2 linked regions of the Lonchura striata genome follow. The protein of the gene in region 2 binds, or shares a complex with, the protein of the main gene of each other region. Links are inferred from orthologs where the notes say so. Each region holds a gene or a part of one and is shown on either strand. Other genes may lie near its edges.

Region 1 (9,808 bases), on a different chromosome or scaffold from region 2:
CATAGAACCCTGAAAACGGGGAATGGAGAACCCCCAGAGCCACCCAGCCCAAAGCCACCCTCATCTGAGCCACAGAACCCTGAAAATGGGGAATGGAGAGCCCCCAGAGCCACCACACCCAAAGCCACTGTCATCTGAGCCACGGGACCCTGAAAACCGGGAATGGAGAACCCCCAGAGCCACCCAGCCCAAAGCCACCCTCATCTGAGCTACAGGACCCTGAAAACAGGGAATGGAGAGCCCCCAGAGCCACCCAGCCCAAAGCCACCCTCATCTGAGTCATAGAACCCTGAAAACGGGGAATGGAGAACCCCCAGAGCCACCCAGCCCAAAGCCACCCTCATCTGAGCCACGGGACCCTGAAAATGGGGAATGGAGAACCCCCAGAGCCACCCAGCCCAAAGCCACCCTCATCTGAGCCACAGAACCCTGAAAACAGGGAATGGAGAGTCCCCAGAGCCACCCAGCCCAAAGCCACCCTCATCTGAGCCACAGGACCCTGAAAATGGGGAATGGAGAACCCCCAGAGCCACCCAGCCCAAAGCCACCCTCATCTGAGCCATGGGACCCTGAAAATGGGGAATGGAGAGCCCCCAGAGCCACCCAGCCCAAAGCCACCCTCATCTGAGCTACAGAACCCTGAAAATGTGGAATGGAGAACCCCCGAGCCACCCAGCCCAAAGCCACCATCATCTGAGCTACAGGACCCTGAAAACCGGGAATGGAGAACGTCCAGAGCCACCACAGCCCAAAGCCACTGTCATATGAGCCACGGGACCCTGAAAATGGAGAATGGAGAGCCCCCAGAGCCACCACAGCCTGTGGGACCACAAAACCAAGGCTGAGATACCCCCAGAGCCATCTCAAGTCCAGCTCCTTCATCTTCTGAACTGTGAGACCCCAAAATCAGGTCTAGGAGCCCCTCAGTGCCACCCCTGCCCAACTTCATTCTCTTAGCCATGCCGGCCCAGAAATGGATCCAGGAAAGCCCCCAGAGCCCACACTGTCACCGTGAGACCCCCAGAGCCACCAGAAGCCTGTCTCCTTCCTGCTCTGAGCTGTGGGACCCCCAGACTGCAGCCAGGGTACCCCCAGAGCCAGCCCAGCCCAGCGTGGGATCCCCAGGGAGCACCAGAGGAGCCGTGGGGACCCGGCCTCGGCTTTGGGACATCACGGGGACAGGGCCGTGGTGGCACTGTGCATTAAACGTGTCCCACCCTCCAGTGTCCCTCTGTCCTTAAATGTGTCCCACCCTCCAGTGTCCCTCTGTGCATTAAACGTGTCCCACCCGCCAGTGTCCCTCTGTCCTGCGGCCTCAGGGGTCTCGCACTGCTCAGCCCGTCGCGTTCCTGTCTTTCCCCACCCGGGGAAGGACAAGAGGTGACACAGGCGGTGGTGACAGGGAGCCACCCCCCCACCGTGTCCCCCATCCCTGGGGACAGCAGGGGCTGGCGCGGGCGGGAATCAGAGCCGTGAGAGCGGAGGCAGCGCTGTTTACTGGGCAGCGGGGCCAGGCGGGAGCGGGGGACACGTCCGGGACCCTCCGTGGTCCCACGGGGCTGGGGGTGGCAAGCGGGGCAGGCCGGGAGCGCCGTGGCAGCGTCCGTCGGTGCCGGGGCGCCTGCAAAGGGGACGAGGAGCGGCGGCCGTGCTGGCATCCCCGTGTCCCCGTCCCCACCCCGGGCTGTCCCCAGGGCTGTCCCGTACCCACCTAGGCTGGCAGCCCCCGGGAGAAGGCGAACATTCCGGGCAGGTAGGGCGCGTCCACCCCTCTGCCGGCCTCCTCCACCGCCCGGCACTCGGCCTCGTCCCGCTGCCGGATCTCCTGCGGGCACAGCAGGGGCTGGCACCGGTGGGATGCTGGGGGACACGGGGACACCGGGGGCACTCACCTTGACCGCCAGGTGGTGGCTGGGGCCGCAGTTGTGGTACTTGTCCAGCACCTTGGGGACATCGCTGGTGTCGAACTTGTAGCAGGCCAGGCAGGTGGGCTTCCTCTGGGACACGGTGTGTGTCACCCCCGGGAGCCCCGGGGACCCTCTGGCACTGACCGCCGTCCCCTCTGCCCACCCTGGCACCCTCAGCAGCGTGGTGGGGGGACGGGGGGTCTGTGGGGGGCTGAGGGACCCCTGGGATGGGGCCCAAGGGAGAGGGGACACCCAGGGATCAGCCCAAGGGATGGGGGACATTCAGGGATGAGGCCCTATAGAGGGAATAGGGTGTGCCCCAAGGGAGAGGGGACACCCCAGGATGTGCCCCAAGGGAGGGGGGACACCCCAGGATGTGCCCCAATGGAAAGGGGACACTCCAGGATAGGCCCCAAGGGAGTGGGGATGTGGCCCAAGGGAGAGGGACAGCTTGGAAAGTGTCCTGAGGGAGGGGACAACACTCCAGGATGTGCCCAAGGGAGATGGGAACACCCTGGGATGTTGCCCCAAGGGAAAAGGGACACCCCCCACGTGCCCCAGGGGAGGAGGGACACCCCATGTGCCCCAGGGGAGGAGGGATACCCAGCCCTGTGCCCAGGGGAAGAGGGACAGCCCAGACTGTGCCCAGGGGAGGAGGGGCACCCAGCCCTGTGCCCAGGGGAGGAGGGGCACCCAGCCCTGTGCCCAGCCCCTCACCCGGTTCTCCAGCACCCGGCAGTGCCGCTGCGGCGCTCGCTTGCGGCAGCTCGTCTGTGCCAGGCCCAGGCGGAGCTGCACGAACGTCCCCGAAGGATCCTCCTGCGGAGGGATCCCAACCTCCAGAGTGACCCCCAAACCCCAGATTCCCAGGGAATGCAGCCCCCGGTGAGACCCCGAACCCCAGGAGTGACCCAAGCACCCTGAGAGCAACCCCAAATCCTGGGGGAGACCCTGAACCCCACGGATGCCAGCCCCTGAGAAGGACCCCAAAACTCCCATAGGAACCCCAAATCCCAGGAGGGACCCTGAACTCTGGGAGGGATCCTGAATCCTGGAAAGCCTCAGGTAAATCCCTGCCAGGAATGACCCCAGGGTGGCTCCAGGACGGGCACGTGGCCCCAAGTGGGGTCCCTGGAGTCCTGGCCCTTCCCAGACCGGGACATTTCCAGGGGCACCCCGGGGTGGACCCGGCTCTGGGGGCACCGGGATCAGCTCGGATCTGTTAATGAATAACCGAGCTCAGCCCGGCCAGCAGGGCCGGTCCCAGAGCACCCCGGGACACCCCAGCACCCGCCGCTTCCCTTTGGGACACCCGACCCCCTCCCCATCCCTGTGGCCATCCCGCATCCCAGTCCTGAACCCCAAATCCCAAATCCCAACACACCTGCTCGACGATCCTGTCCATCTCCCATTGCCTCTGGGACACCCCAATCCCCTCCCAGCCCTCTCTCTGTTCCTTCGGGGACACCCCAACACCCTCCCCAGTGCCATGGTCATCCCGGCTCCTGAACCCCGAACCCCAATCCCGAATCCCGCCGCTCCCCTGCTCCCTCCGGGACACCCACCCTGACCCCTCGCTGTTCTCGCGGCCATCGGAGCCCCAAATCCGAGATCCCGACGCCAATCCCAGTGCTGCTCCCCTTCCTCCGCACGCTCCCGGGACCGCAGCCCCTGCCCGAGCCCCGTTCCCGTGGCCATCCCGGAGCCCGAGCGGCGGCTCCCGGTGCCGAATGCCGTCCCTCACCCGCTCGGTGACCCCGTCCACCTCCCGCTCCTTGAAGAGGAAATGCACGTTGCTGCGCCCGTGGAAATATTCCAGCACGTCCCGCACCACGCGCCGCTGGAGCGGGGACTGCCCCGCCGCCGCCGCCGCCGCCGCCGCCGCCGCCGCCGCCGCCGCCGCCGCCAGGGCCAGCGGCAGCCACAGGGACACCGGGAGCCTCATCCCGCCGGGAGCGGCCTCACGGATCCGCGGGCCGCGGGCTGGCACGAGCCCATTTCCTGGGATCTGCCCCCAAATCCGCCCCCGGGACGGCCCCGCGGGTGACCCCCCCACCCCGCGGGGCGCGGGAGGAGGGGCCGGCGTGGGATCGGGAGAGACCCCGGGAACGGCGTCACGGGCTGCGGGAATGCAGACCTGCACCGGGAGCTCCCTGCAGCCCGAACGGCGCCGGGCCCGGGAACGGGCTGCAGTTCCCCGGGAACAGCCCGGGAATGGGCTCAGATCCCCGGGAACGGGCTGCAATCCTCCGGGAATGGGCTCAGACCCCCGGGAACGGGCTGCAGTTCCCCGGGAATGGGCTCAGACCCCCGGGAACGGGCTGCAGTTCCCCGGGAACAGCCCGGGAATGGGCTCCTGTCCTCGGGAACGGGCTGCAATCCCCGGGAATGGGCTCAGATCCCCGGGAACGGGCTGCAATCCTCCGGGAACAGCCCGGGAATGGGCTCCTGTCCCCGGGAACGGGCTGCAATCCCCGGGAACAGCCCGGGAATGGGCTCAGATCCCCGGGAACGGGCTGCAATCCCCGGGAATGGGCTCAGACCCCCGGGAATGGGCTCAGATCCCCGGGAACGGGCTGCAGTCCCCGGGAATGGCTCCGATCCCCGGGAATGGCTCCGGTCCCCGGGAACGGCTCCGGTCCCCGGGAACGGCTCCGGTCCCCCGGAACAGCCGGGAATCACCTCTGCTCCCCGGGATGCGCTCCGGAGCGGGACACTGGGGAGCACTGGGGCTGTACTGGGGGACACTGGGGGGACACGGTGGGGCACTGGGGATGTACTGGGGGACATAGGGGGGCACTGGGGCTGTACTGGGGGGACACTGGGGCTGTACTGGGGGGACACTGGGGAGCACTGTGGGAACACTGGGGAGCACTGGGAACACTGGGGGACACTGGGGCTGTATTGGGGGACACTGTGGGACACTGGGGCTGTACTGGGGGACACCAAGGAACACTGGAGGGCACTGGGGCTGTACTGGGGGACACCAAGGCACACTGGGGGGACACTGGGGCTGTACTGGGGGACACCAAGGAACACTGGGGGGCACTGGGGCTGTACTGGGGGACACCAAGGAACACTGGGGGGCACTGGGGCTGTACTGGGGGGACACTGGGGAGCACTGTGGGAACACTGGAGGACACTGGGGCTGTACTGGGGGCACCAAGGCACACTGGGGGACGCTGGGTGGGCGGGGTCTCTCCGGCCCCTCCCACCCCCTCGCGCCTGCGCTGTCCCGCGGCGCCGCCAGGGGGCGCTGCCCGGGCCCCGCCCCCCGACCCGGAACGGGGCGCGGCCGGACGGGGCCGGGCTGACACCGTGACGTCACCGCGCGCGTGACGTCACCGCGCGCGTGACGTCACCGCGCGCGTGACGTCACCGAGCCCGGGCAGCGGCCGCCCGTGAGTTTCCCCGGGAGGGTCCCGGGGCGCGGGCACGTGGCCGGGGGACCGGGGGGACCGGGGGACCGGGGGGTCTCAGGAACTGTCGGAGTCTCCAGGGGGGAACCCCCGTGGCGGCGGCGGGTCCGGGGCTTCCGCAGGAGCCGGTGCTGGGGCGCACGGGGCTCACCGCGAACCCCCCGGGGCGGCACGGCCGGCACCGGGGACAGCCGGGCTCCCGAGCGCCGGGATCCCCGAGCGCCGGGGGAGCCCGGCCCGGTGGCCCCGGGGCTGTTCCCGGCTCCCGGGGCCGTTCCCGGCTGATGAGGTGATTCCACGCCAGGGCTCCTCCCGAGCCCCAGGGCTATTCCTGACCTCCAAGGCGGGGCTGTGCCGGGGCTGTTCCCGGCTCCCGGGGCTATTCCAAACTCCAGGACTGTTCCTGGCTCCCGGGGCTATTCCCGGTTCTCCAGGTGCTGTTGTACCGGGGCTATTCCCAAATCCTGGGGCTATTCCCGGCTCCCGGGGCTATTCCCAGCTCCTGGGGCTGTTTTCGGCTCCCGGGGTTATGCCCGGTTCTCCAGGCGCTCCTGTACCGGGACTATTCCCAAATCCTGGGGTTATTCCCGGCTCCCGGGGCTATTCCCAGCTCCTGGGGCTGTTCCCAACTCCCGGGTCTATTCCCGGTTCTCCAGGTGCTGCTGTACCGGGGCTATTCCCAAATTCTGGGGCTATTCCCAAATTCCGGGGCTATTCCCAGCTCGTGGGGCTATTCCCGAATTCCCGGGCTATTCCCTGCTAGCGGGGCTATTCCCAAATTCTGGGGCTTTTCCCAACTGCCGGGGCTGTTCCCGACACCCGGGGCCGTTCCCGGCTGGACGGGCTGATGCCGTGCCGGGGCGATTTCCTGCTCCCGCTCGCTCCCATGGAATCCATCCCATCAAATCCATCCCATCAAATCCATCCCATCAAATCCATCCCATCGAATCCACCCCATCCCATCTACAGCCCCATCCCATCCCATCCCATCCCATCCCATCCCATCCCATCCCATCCCATCCCATCCCATCCCATCCCATCCCATCCCATCCCATCCCATCCCATCCCATCCCATCCCATCCCATCCCATCCCAGCCCCATCCGAACTACAACTCCCAGCGCTCCCCAGCTCTCGCCGTTCCCAGCCGGATCCGGCCCCGCTCGGCGCCTTCCGCACCCCAAATTCCGGGGGGAGGCGGGGGAGGACGGGGGTCCGAGGCCGCCGGAGCCGCTCCCGGCCCGGTCCCGCTGCCCTCCCGGCCCGGTCCCCTCCCGCTCACATCGCGGCTCTCCCGCTCTCCCAGGACCCGCCGCGGCCATTTGAGGGACTCGGAGGCGGAAGGAGACCAGGCCGAGGCCGGGCAGCGGCCGGGAAGAGCCGGGGAGCGGCGGGGAAGGAGCGCCCGGGGAGCCGGGAGCGGCCCGGGGCGGCGATGTCGGCGGGGGGAGCGCCCCAGGTACGCGGGGATCCCGGGGGAGCTCCGGGGCTGCCCCGCTCCGCCAGCCCCGGGGCGTGGGGGGATCCCGGGGGGATCCCCGCGGCCGGTTCCGATGGTTTTTTCCTCGGCCCCTGGAGCCCCCCAAGAGTTTTTCCGGGAAATCCGCGCACCGGGAAGTCCCGCGGCGCGGGGGGGCCGCACCCCCCGGTTCTGCCGCCGCCGGGCTCCCGGGGTTTGGGGACACGGGAGGGACGCGGGAGGGCACGGGGGACTTGGGGGGTTCAGCGTCCCCGGAAAAGCGGGACTGGCTCTTCGGGAAAGGTTCCTCCCTCGTGCGGGTCCTGGCCGGGCAAGGAGCTGGTTTGGGGGGTGGGCAGTGGGCATGGGGGGGCAGGGACCCGGTTTGGGGGTCAGGGGTCCGGTCTGGAGGAGCAGGGTGGGGCATCTGTTTTGGGGGAACAAGGATCTTGTTTGGGGAGCAGGGATCTGCTGGGGAAGCAGTGATTTGGTTTTGGGGGGGTGGGGTTGTGATTTGGGGGAGCAGGGGTCTGGTTTGGGGAGCAGGGAAGTGGGTTCCATCCTGGAGCAAGGAATCTCCTATTTGGGGTGGAGGAATAGGGGCATGATCCCTGTCCTTGGCCTGTGGCCAAACCCAGGGAAAGGTCCTCAGACCTCCCAAAATGACCCAAATGGCCCCAAAACGCCTCTGAGCCGCTGCCCCCTCCCCAGCCCGCCCACGCCCTGGATCTGCTGCCGTACTCCCGGCTGAGCCCGGCGCCGCGGGCCGGGTCCCAGCTGGATGCCGTCGGAGCCGAGATCCCCTCGGATCCCTGCACAGGTGAGGGGGGACGCCCTGGGCTGGAATCCTCCGCACAGAGCCCGGTGCATTTTTGTGGGGACTTTGAACTGGGACGATGAAAGCGTTCTGGGGATTCCCGGGGATGGGAGAGGCTGCGGGGAGAAGCGGGAGCCCAGGAGGGGCTCACCTCGTCCCGGCTCACCTGGAGCCAGGTTCTCGAGGGGCGAGCCCGGCTCTCCCGGGAGCAGTCCCGGTGCTCCAGTGGTGCCGACGGCGGTGCCCGTGTCCCCCCAGGGTACCGCTTCTTTAAGCCGGGGGGTTTGTTCGGGATGAAGCCGCCGGAGGAGCCGTTCGGAGCCGCGCGGACGGGCCCGGAGGAGTCCAAGGCCCTGGGCAGCCCCTGCGCTGGTGAGCCCAGATCCGTGGGACTGGGGGGCTCGGGGGGAACATGGGCTGGGATCCTTCTGGGGCATCCTGAGCCAGTTTAGAACTTTTTGAAGCCAGTTGGGGACTGTTCTGAGCCACTTAGGACCAGTTTAAAGGCCTTTTTCAGCCATTTTGGGACAGTTTTCAGCCATTTTGGGGCCCTCCTGTGCCAGCTCGCAGCCATTTATGACCAGCTTATGGCAATTCTGAGCCAGTTTGTGGCTATTGTGGGCTACTTTTGAGAACCACTTTTGGCCATTTTAGACTAGTTTTTGCCATTCTGAGCCAATTTTGACCATTTTGGACCTGGGTGTCGCAAACTGGAGGGTTTGGAGTGTCACGCGCCAGGAGAGGCTTGGGGACCTGAGGCCCTTTGGGGTGTCCCAGGTCCCCGTGGTTCAGGAGCGAGGGGCCCACGAGGAAAGGGGCGGCTGGGCCCGGGTCCTCCCCACTCGGGACAGCCTGGGGTGCTCCGGGAGCCGGGATAACACCGGCATCTCTCCGGTGCAGTGGAGCCCGGGCGGGTGAGCAAGGTGGAACCCGAGGAGAAGCCCGGGATTGGCGCCGGCTCCCTGGAGCTGTTTCCGGCCGCGGGCGGCAGCTCCGGCCGCTGGTTCCCCGGCGGGCAGCGCGGCCCCGAGCCCCCCCGGGACCCCCCTGCCCCCCGTGCCGGCTGCTGGGGGGCCCAGGGGGGCGTCCCCGGCCCCTTCCGCTGCGGCCAGTGCGGGAAGGGCTTCCGGCAGAAGCAGAGCCTGGTGACGCACGAGCGCATCCACACCGGGGAGAAGCCGTTCCGCTGCGGGGACTGCGGCAAGAGCTTCAGCCAGCGGCCCAACCTGCTGACGCACCGGCGCGTGCACACGGGCGAGCGGCCCTTCCCCTGCGCCCAGTGCGGCAAGAGCTTCTCGCAGAAAGCCAACCTGCTGGCGCACCAGCGCATCCACGGCGCCCACCCCGAGGAGGGCAAGGCGCGGGCGCGGGCGCCGGCGCGGGGCTGCCCCGAGGACGCGCCCTTCGTGTGCCCCGAGTGCGGGAAGAGCTTCCGGCAGAAGCCCAACCTCATCACGCACCGGCGCATCCACACGGGCGAGCGGCCCTTCTCCTGCTTCCTGTGCGGCCGCAGCTTCAACCAGAAAACCAACCTGGTGACGCACTACCGGGTGCACACAGGTGAGCGGCCCTTCGCCTGCGCCCAGTGCGGCAAGCGCTTCACCCAGAAAACCAACCTGGTCACGCACCAGAGCACCCACACCGACCTGCGCCCCTTCCCCTGCGCCCAGTGCCACAAGTGCTTCAAGGACAAGGTTTCCCTCAAGGCCCACCAGAAGACGCACATCCCCCGCCAGCGCCGCTGCCCCGCGCGCGGCCCGGCCCCCGCCGCGCCCTTCGGGGCCGCGCCCGCCCTGCTGCCCCCCGCGCCCGCCCCGCAGGACCCCGCCCCGTTTGCCCCGCTCCCGCCCGCCCCGAAGCTCCCCGAGGGCGCCGAGCTGTTCCCGTGCCCCGAGAAGGGCTTCCCCCCCCCGGCCCCGGGTGAGCCCCCCTTCCCCTGCGCCCACTGCGGCGACGGCTTCTGCCCCAAGGTGCCCCTGCTGCGGCCCCCCGAGGCGCCCGCCGCGCCCTTTGCCCCCGGCCCGCCCGTGCTGGGGCCCCTGGGGGCGCAGCCGGGGCCGGCGGAAGCCGTGCTCTCCCCGGAAAAGCCCTTCATCTGCAACCAGTGCGGGAACAGCTTCGGGCTCTGGCTCGCCCTCGTCGCCCACCAGAAGAGCCACGCGGGGCACAAGCCGTGCCCCGGCGCTCCCCCCGCGGAGCCGGGCGCCG
Region 2 (9,516 bases):
TCCCACCGGCGGTTTCCGAGCTCCCAGCGCACCCCAAAGCCCAGCCCCGCTTCCTCCGGGCGTGGGAGGCGCGGGCAGCTCCGGCACAGCTTCCCGGGAGAGGGGCAGCTGCCGGCAGATGTTTGGGAAAGGCTCGGGGTAAAACAGGACCTCCACGTCCCTCTGGAGCTGCTGGCACCAGACCCCACCCTGCCTCAATCCCCGGTGTCCCTGGGGATGTCCCTGGGGGCAGGTGGCAGGCGCTGGTCCCTGTTCCGTGGGGGTTCACAGCTCCGGATGAGCTCGAGCCCCACCCTGCGATCCCGAGCATCCCTAAAAATCCATGGCATCTCATGCCCCAGGGAAGGAGGATGCAAACCCCATCCCAAGCTGGCACACCCGAGGCCACCCCATGGATCCCTCTGCCACCCACGTGTTTCTGGCACACAGCAGGGACATCCCTGCAGGGATCCAGCTCCCAGGAATCTCAGGGAGCGAGGCAAAGCAGCTCTGGGTACCCAGCTCCAATCCCCCTTTGTTTTGGCAGGTGATTGCCATGGCGACAGATGCCACAGGGATGAGGCTGCTCAGCATCCCACTCCCACCCGGGACAGCCGGGATGGAGCCCCATTCCTCGCTGTAAATCCACCACCAGCCCATCGAGGGGGAGTTCAGATCTCCAACCCCCAAACTCCAACCGTGCCCAAAAGCTGCTCCTGGCTGATTCCAGCCCTGCCACCACCCCTGACCCCTGTGCCCCGCTGCAGCAGGCTGGGAAGGGCACAGGGATGTGGGATGCCACGGGAGCAGCAGCGGCAGGCTGAGAATGAGCTCCTGCCAGCGAGGATCCCGGGCTGGAAATTCTCCCAAACCTCCCCCAGCACCTGGAGACCCCCAGGGCAAAAAGATGAGGCACAGCCACGGGGGAAACTGAGGCACAGAGCTCTGCTCCAAGAGCAGTGGGAAACTTAATCCCTACCTGCATCCACTCAGGCACATCCCAGTTCTGCATCACGGATCCGGGACCCCCACACCCGGCAGCCTCCGGCATCCCCAGCCTCTCCCTGCACCCCATCCGTGTGAACGGCGCAGGAAAAAGGGAATAGCTGGAAAAGGCAGCCTTAAAAAAGCTGCTGTGCCCAGGGTGGGACAGAAAAACATGAGTCAGTGTTTATCTGGGCAGAGCCGGCCGGGCTGAGCGGGTCAGGTCGGGATAGGATGGGATGGATCCCACGGATCCTCCCGGCCACAGTGTGGGGTCACCCCCATGGGGGAAAGCGCTCCAGTCCTGCCAGGAAAAGGGGTTTAATCTCAAAATTTGGGTTAGGAAAGACCCCTCCCAGGGTGAAACTCCAGCAGAGGAACCCGGCCTTCCCTAGCACCAAGTGTTGAAAGAGCCACGCTGTTCGTAAAATCCCGGCCTTTTGCTCCATCCATTCTGCTCTTGGAAAGGTTCGAGGATTAAAGGGGGAAAATTCGGGTGTTTTCACCTACACAGGCAAAGATTTCCTTGAAAAAGGGCAGTCTGTACTTCTGAGCTTCTTAAAATGACTCAACTTCCAAGATAATAAAAGTTCTTTCATCTCCTCTGCTCTCTTCTAATAATCCAAGGTTTTCTCCTGGCACTTCTCAGGCAATAAAAAGACAAAAAAAACCTCCCTTTTCCAGAGCATCCTCCCTGCTACACCCCAGCAGTGCAGTGATGCCGTCCCTCACCACGGCTTGGGCTTTGTCAGGGGACAAAACCTTGGGGACGTCACTCTGCATTTGGGGCGCACAAAGGGACAGAAACCCAAGCAAACGGAAATAGGGCTGCGGGGGGGACGTGACCCCGCAGGGGATGTGGCACAGCAGGGGACAGCAGGCTCAGTCACCCCGGATCCGTGGGAGCATCCTCCCAGCTGTGCTCCGTGTCCCCAGCTGAATGCTGATCAGCACGGCAAAGAAAAGCCACCCTGTTCTCCCTGTCCCCAGCAAGGGGACACTGCCACACTGTCAGGACATCAACCCCCCCAAATTCTCTGCCAGCTCCTCTCCCTTCCGTGCTGTTTTGCCACCCCCCAGGCTGCAAAGCCCAGCTCCAAAAGAGGCTGGGGTTGTAGGGAAAATTAGGGGCTTTGTGGTGAAGGACAGTGGGGATCCCAGAGATCCCAAACCCACTGTAGAACAACAAGGGAGCAAAAAAAAACTCAAGTGGTTGCAAATCTCCAGCAAACCCTTCCTCCCAAATCCCTACAAAACATATAAATTAACGAATATATGTAAATCCAGGGGTGTTTACCTGAGCTGGATAAATCCCCAAGGAATTTTCAGCATTCAGAAGCTGGATTAGACATCTCTGCTTCTCCTCCAGCCCCGTTAGGGCTGGCATGGGAATGACCCCGGGCTTGTGGCTTTGGCATCCAGCTGGAGCTGACACGGATATTGCCGAGCTGTCTCATCCCGAGGAGAAGCACATGGGATGGGAGGATGAGGAAAATAAAGGCAGCCCGTGGAACAAACCAGCTGCTGGCCTCAGCAGAGCTGGAAGGGGAAGGGGGAAGCTCTGGGGGAGGATGTTGAATCTGCGGAGTTTAGCCGGACACAGAAGGGGATGTGGCAGCGGTGACATGTCCCGTCCACCACGGCTCCTGTGCTGCCCACAGTGGCTTGGGAATCTCCTGGGAGCCTTTGGGAAAGGTTTGGGTATCCCTCATTGTGAGCACAGCCAAAGGGTCCCCTCGGCTGCCTTTCATCCCTGCTCCCCAGGCACCCCAAATCCATGCTGGGATGCTCCTGGCTCACACCCGCAGGAGACGGGGAACCCAAAGCCATTCCTGGGGTGCAGGGAAGAAGAGAAGCTGCTCACGAGTCCTGTCCATTCCCAGCTGTTCATCCCATGTGAGGACATCAGCCTGGCCTGGTTTGTACCCCCAAAGAGAGCGTCCCCAGCCAAGGGCTGTCCCTCACCACCCTGACCTCAACCCTGTGCCAGCCAGGAGCTGCAAATCACCAGTGGCATCCACGGTGCAGGACCAAATCCCTGCCCTGAGCCAGGACATCTGAGCCAGAGGGAGATGCAAAACAGCTGGAGCAAAAGCTGCACCGTGCTGTGAAAGAGCATCACCTTCCACCAGAGCTCCCACCTGCTCTCCCTCAACGAGATCCATGAGTTATCCAGCTCTTGGCTTCTGCCACGCACAGGGAATAAATCCCAGTTCCCTCAGAGCTGGAAAAGCCCCACCCAGGTGTGACCAGGGGACAGGGGGTGATGCCCGCAGGGAGTGGTGGCAGGTGGGAGGGAGCTAAAGGCCACCACGTCCCGTGACGTGGGGACATTGACCCCGTCCTACGTGGAGGAGCTCCCGTGAGAGCCGAAAAAGAGGAATCGGAGGCGCTGCCGCCTTTGCACAACTCTGTGTCGCAACTCTGTGTCCCTGAGCTGAATCAGGGCTAGAAAAATGCTGATGTGCCGGTTCCTGGGGCTGCTGCGGGGAAAGGAGAAGCCCCAGAAAGCCGTGGAGAAGTGGGCAGGGATGTGCCAATCCCCTGTGGAGCCAGGCTGGGGACTCGTGACCGGCTCCCCGGTGTCCCTGTGTGCCAGGAGCCCCGCGATATTCCACACTGGTGGCACATCCCCAGCGGGGTGCAGAGGAGCGGTGTGCCAGGAGAGTGGGAAACGCCGCCCAAAATGATAAAACCCATGAGAAGAACGGATGGGGAGTGGCACGGCCTGGATCTGCCCCATCGCTCTGCCACCTCGTCCTGCGCCATCTGCTCCCGCAGTGTCCCCCCACCGAGTGACCTGTCCGTACCTCGCACGGTGCCAACGCTGTCCCGCTGCTCCGTGCCGGGCGGGACGGGCTCGGGGTGCCCGGGGTGCCGGCAGGATCCCATTCCCAGGCGGATCCCGGCGTGCCGGGACACACACAGGCACGGTGCCGCTCCCCGCCGCTTTTAAGGCAGCGGGGAGGGAGTTGCGTCCATCACCAAGGTTTTCTTGGCAGCGCGATGCTCGGCGAGCAACAGCTGGGAGAGGGTGTGACGCCGGGAGCTGGGAACGCTGGCCTGGATCACAAGCCAGCGTGAGGAAGCAACAAACGCTTCCCGAGGGGCCTCCTTTCCTGTGCCGCCCCCCGGGCCGGAGCGCACCGTCCCACGGAGGGATAACGGAGCCCGGAGCGCTCCGCGGGGATGCTGCTCCAGCCCGGAGCCCAAGGGGAGGCAGGTGGCTGCCAGCCCCCGCCGCGGTGCTGTCCCCAGCCTGGGGCAGCCGCTGTCCTCTGCTCCCCACACCGCCCCCAAATCCTTCCAAGACGTTGAGTCACTTCCCTTCAGGCAAATCTGGCTCCCAAACGCCGTTCCTGCTGCTCAGGGGCTGCTTTTCCCGATGGATTTCATTACCACCAGGATGCTGCAGATGCTTCCAGGCAGCCCCCCCAGCCCGCAGAGGCTCAGTGGTGGCAGCTCTGTCACCCTTTAACACCTGCAAGAAAAGTTCTTCGGGGGCCACGGAGGGGCTGGGAGAAGCTCCAGAGTCCCCTGGGGAGGAGGGATGGGAAAGGCTGGATGCAGGGATGGGATTCAGGGGGACAAACAAGAGGATTTTGGGGCAGCCCCCCAGACTGGGAGCACTGAGCAGCGCAGCCTCCACCCACACAGAGCAGGAGGTTTGGATAACCCCAGGCTGGATGTGGCACCGGGAAAATTCCTTCCCTCCCCACGCAGCTCCCGCGCTCCCAAGCCTCAACCACACTAGTCCCAGCACCCATGCCAGTCCCAGCATCCATCCCAGTCCCAGCACCCATGCCAGTCCCAGCACCCATCCCAGTCCCAGCACCCATGCCAGTCCCAGCACCCATCCCAGTCCCAGCACCCATCCCAGTCCCAGCATCCATCCCAGTCCCAGCATCCATCCCAGTCCCAGCATCCATCCCAGTCCCAGCATCCATCCCAATCCCGGCACCCATCCCAGTCCCAGCACCCATCCCAGTCCCAGAATCCATCCCAATCCCGGCACCCATCCCAGTCCCAGCACCCATCCCAGTCCCAGCATCCATCCCAGTCCCAGCACCCATCCCAGTCCCAGCATCCATCCCAGTCCCAGCATCCATCCCAATCCCAGCATCCATCCCAGTCCCAGCATCCATCCCAGTCCCAGCATCCATCCCAATCCCAGCATCCATCCCAGTCCCAGCACCCATCCCAATCCCAGCACCCATCCCAATCCCAGCACCCATCCCAGTCCCAGCACCCATCCCAATCCCAGCACCCATCCCAATCCCAGCACCCATCCCAATCCCAGCATCCATCCCAGTCCCAGCACCCATCCCAGTCCCAGCACCCATCCCAGCGGGATAAGAGCCAGTGCAGGGCTTGGGAGCAAAGGCAGCACAAGGAAACACAAGAACTTTTGGCACTGGTGCCCCCTCACCCTCCTCCAGCCTGGAAAAGGAGCAGGATTTTCCCCCACTGGGACACCCCAAAATCACCGCCCTGAGTTTGCCACCAGACATTCCAACCCTCTGCCCAGCAGAAAGGAAGTTCATCTACCACAGGATACTAATTAAGGCTAATTAATTATCCTCAGCTGTAAAGACAGGGGCAAAAAACATCCTGAATCCAGCCAGCAAGGGAGAAAATCCATTGCGAACTGATGGGATTTCCTTTTGTGTGTCTGGAGTTAAACGGTGCCACCAAGAGATGCTCAGCCCAGGCAGCTCTGGGTGGCACCAGCCGGGACCTGGTGGGAGTTTTTGGACTTCCCAAAACCACCCCAGGGCCTGCTGGGGCTGGGAATGCTCAGCTATGGATGCTCCTGCACGTGGCCTTGCCAAGGCCTGACCCCGGGACATCGAGCAATGACCGAAATCCCGGCAGCTCCGGGGGATGACCTGGCTCAATCCCGGTGATCCCAGCAAGGCCGAGCTCTGCAGCCCCCCAAAACCAACCCCCCAGGCACCCGGCACTGCCCAGGCCCGGCAGGATGCAGGATGCTGCTCTCACCCTGACCCCTGCGTTTAGCAGGGTGAAAGGTGCTGACTCGGGATAGGATTTCCCATCCCGAGCGTTTGCGGGTTGGGTTTTTTTCCCTCCAGGGCGCTCAGCAAAGCCCTGCGGGGAAGGAGAAATCCCCGCTCCCGCTCCCGGGGCTGCCGCTGGGGCAGGATCCGCACGGGAGCAGCGCCGGGAGCGGCAATTCCAGGCGCCGCGGCCGCGCAGCCTTTGGCAGCTGTCATGTCCTTCCTTGGCAAGCGCCGAGTGCCACCCACACCGAGCAAAGCAATTAAAGCTCTACATTGATTCGGGCTAATTAAACGCCCTGGAGCAGCTCCCTGCCGAGCCGGGATGCGCGGATGGGGTCGGGATGCGCGGGTGGGACCGGGATGAGCGGATGGGGTCGGGATGCGCGGATGGGGTCGGGATGTGCGGGTGGAGCCGGATTGTGCGGATGGAATGCGATGCGCGGGTGGAGCCGGGATACGCGGATGGAGCCGGGATGCGCGGATGGGACCGGGATACACGGCCGGAGCCCGGCAGGTCCGACCCCTCCAGCTCTCGCCCTTCTTCCCTCCCACACAGGCGCTGGGAACCCGCCTGATTCATCCCGAAACAGATGTCGCAGTCAGTGGGGAAGAAGCTGGAGGAAGTTTTCCCTCTCCAGGGGAGCTTTCTCCGGCACCCAGCAGCACTTTCCCTCGCCCCGGGCAGAGCCGTGGGGATAAATGGCTGGGAAAGGAGCTGGGCTCAGCTACGAGGACAAGACGGGAGGATCCCGCTGCGTATCCCAGCTCCCAGTGCCGGGCTTTAGAGCTGGGTTTATGCCCAGGGACAAGCCTGCCCTGCCTTTCCCGCAGGGAGCTCATCTCATCCCTGGCTCCACACCCGCCGCGCTCCGACCTCCGCATCCCGTCACTGCCTCCCGATCCAAGCGCGAACTCCCTGCCCAAAGAAAGAAGCCACAGACAGGATGTCCAAGAGACGGCTCCCGTTCCCTTTTTTCGCTGATTTGATACAACCGCGGCAAAAAAAAACAAAACAACACCAAAAACCCCAGTCCCAACCTTGTGCAACTCGAGCTTATAAATAGCCCCAGAAACACGGCGGGGCTGGGACCAAACCCCGCTGTGCTCCCGGGGCTGGCACCATATCCCTGATCCCACCCCTGGGATGGGCAGCTCAGGGATCTCCACACCCCCAGATACCCTCGCAGAGCCTCTGTTTGCCTCCAGTCTCGGATCATTCCCCCCAATTTTCCACGTGCTTCCCTCAGAGCTGTGCCAGGGGACAATTCCGAGGTCTCGGCTCCCAAAGCCCACCCTTGGCAGAGGAGGATTGATGGGAACATTCCCGGGACACGGCTGGGCCCTGTTCCATGGATTCCTCATCTGTGGCATCAGCCACCCCCTCCCATCCCCATCCTGCTCCCCAGGAGTGATGGAAGTGCCACTTCAGGAGATTTCTCCATGATTTCCAATTCCTGCTGGAGCAGGGATGAGGAATTGCCAGGCATGGACACTCTGTTGTTGCCTTGGAGCCCCTGAGCAGGTGACAGACAGGATGTCACCTGCCCAGGGATTTACGAGCAGAGGTGGCATCGAATCCTGGAGTGGCTGGGTTTGGAAAAACCTTAAACTCATCCCATTCCATTACCTGCCACGGACAGGGACATCTTCCACAGACCAGGCTGCTCCAAGTCCCATCCAACCTGGCCTTGGAATAAGAAATTCCATTTAAAAAATAAGAGATTCTATTAAAATGCCTAAAGGGCTCCAGGTCTGGATGCTGCACATCCCACTGGAAAATGGGAGATGCTGACAGGATTCAATTCCTTGTGCTGGGAACTGCTGGAGCCAAATTCAGGCTCATCTTTCACCCTGAACTCCTTCAGCATCATCCTAAAGTCCTCTGGATGTGCTTTTCCTGCTGCTGGTGTGCCGAGTGAAGACACCAAACGTGGATAGAGGGGAGCATTCCTGAAATCTCCCAGCAATAAAATCAGTGGGATCTGCCTGATAAAACCCCTCAGGAAACTCCCAATCCTTTAAGGCACCAGCTGGATTTGTCTTAATAACAATAGATTCCTTCAAATTCCCAAACATCCATAAGGAAACCTGCCTCATTTATGGTTTTTTTAATTAATAAACCCAGTTTTCCTTGCAATCAACATCTGGGAACTCAGCATTCCATGGAGCAGAGCCTTGCTGGGACATGTATTTTTGAAGCTGACTTTTCCAATGGCCCCATCCTGCTTCCCATCACTGGGATGGGCCCAGGAACTGCCCAGCTCCGGGTGGGAAGGTTCAAATTTCTGCCAGCTCTGAGCAATCCATGCCTTTTTTGGGGTTTTCTTGGCTGTGGGGGGGTGGCCTTGGTGCAGGTTCCCTAGGCTCCAATTGCCCTGGAATTTGTAAAAATAACAGCAAAATACGTTTTATTCCTGAGCCTTTGCCAGGCTGGGATTGTTTCTGAAATGAGGGAGTTGCTTGGTGGTGCCAGGGAGATGTGGGGGTACCTGGACCCTCATTGGGGTTGCCCACAGCATCTTCCCTGAATGGATCTGGATCATTGATCCCAATAATCCAGAGCTCAGCCCCGTGCTGGATACAAGCCTTTCCCACACAGGAGCCCAGTCCCAAAATCCAGCTGTTGTCTCAGAATTAGTTAAACAGATCCAGAAATGTAGGGATCCATCCAGAGGGGGCTGTTGATGGAAGCCAGATTCACTAACACGAATGAATTCCTGATTTTTATTCCATAAAAAGTGCAGAGGGAATCTCTGATATCCATGGCCTGGAGTGGACGCAGAAAATCCCCAGAACTGCTCCCAGCTGATGGAGAATGGAGCTCCCAGAAGGATTCAGACATTGGGAATACCTTAGAAATCAATAGGGATAAATTGAAAATTCAGGCAGGACTTCACATAATTCACACACACTCCCTTAAAACTTATTGGGGGAAAAACAGGTTGGGAAAAAGGAATTTGGGATACTCTGGATGTGGCTTCCCTGGCACATCTGGCTGGGGAGAGGATGTCCAAGGAATTAATTCTGTGTGGAAATCACTGGAGTGTCAGGAGAGCTCTGATTGATCCTTGGCATTCCAGTGCAGGAATTAATTCTGGCCATGGAATTCCAGCTGCTTCCAACGCCAGCAGAAGCTGCCTTCAAGGAGCCATAATCCCCAAGGGAATTAAAACTAAAAACTGATTAAAATGAAAGCATTTCCCTGGATATCCCACCTGGAATTTGGATGCCCTGGGGGTATCCCTCACCCTCACCCTGGCACATCCCAACCCAGCAAATCCCTGGCACAGCTGCAAAAAATTCCCCCTGTGGAAAACAGGGAGCTAATGGGATTTAGGGGAGGAGGAATGAGAGGCTGGATGTAAGCAGACCCAATTAGTGGAGGGGTCAATTAAGAGAGAGGTGATTGGGATATTTGAGATCCCAAATCCCTCCTTGCTCCGAGGACCCCACGTGCTCGTCTCCTGGAAAATTCCACCACGAAGGATTTAAACGAGTCATTTATCAATTAAATGTGAGCTCTGGCAAATTA

Evidence for each region. The genes of interacting proteins can lie anywhere in the genome.
Region 1: the proteins of CMKLR1 (region 2) and RARRES2 are in contact, whole or in part, in a cryo-EM structure (PDB 8ZJG), measured with the Homo sapiens proteins. The link is inferred for Lonchura striata from reciprocal best matches to the Homo sapiens genes CMKLR1 and RARRES2. Residues at the interface, in NP_001135815.1 of Homo sapiens: Asp20, Tyr21, Leu22, Asp23, Ser24, Ile25, Val26, Val27, Leu28, Phe88, Leu92, His95, Tyr103, His104, Asn116, Leu119, Ile120, Met123, Arg178, Leu183, His184, Gly185, Lys186, Ser188, Cys189, Phe190, Asn191, Trp203, Thr205, His217; in NP_002880.1 of Homo sapiens: Leu34, Phe37, His38, Phe60, Thr75, Ser76, Cys77, Arg96, Leu111, Gly112, Arg113, Leu114, Val115, His116, Cys117, Pro118, Ile119, Thr133, Leu136, Arg137, Gln139, Arg140, His146, Ser147, Phe148, Tyr149, Phe150, Pro151, Gly152, Gln153.

Annotation. Positions count from the first base shown.
Region 1 is NC_134603.1:156,737,915-156,747,722, forward strand, and holds RARRES2 (retinoic acid receptor responder protein 2), read right to left. Parts: upstream 3,903-9,808; 5' UTR 3,853-3,902; coding exon 3,652-3,852; intron 2,727-3,651; coding exon 2,625-2,726; intron 1,998-2,624; coding exon 1,893-1,997; intron 1,826-1,892; coding exon 1,712-1,825; intron 1,622-1,711; 3' UTR 1,479-1,621; downstream 1-1,478. Other genes in the region: uncharacterized protein LOC116183190, read left to right, coding at 7,148-7,174, 7,495-7,603, 7,859-7,972, 8,501-9,808. UniProt on the Homo sapiens protein: Adipocyte-secreted protein (adipokine) that regulates adipogenesis, metabolism and inflammation through activation of the chemokine-like receptor 1 (CMKLR1). Also acts as a ligand for CMKLR2.
Region 2 is NC_134620.1:11,454,198-11,463,713, reverse strand, and holds the start of CMKLR1 (chemerin-like receptor 1), read right to left. Parts: upstream 4,010-9,516; 5' UTR 3,774-4,009; intron 2,482-3,773; exon of another isoform or gene 2,261-2,481; intron 1,112-2,260; exon of another isoform or gene 959-1,111; intron 1-958. UniProt on the Homo sapiens protein: Receptor for the chemoattractant adipokine chemerin/RARRES2 and for the omega-3 fatty acid derived molecule resolvin E1.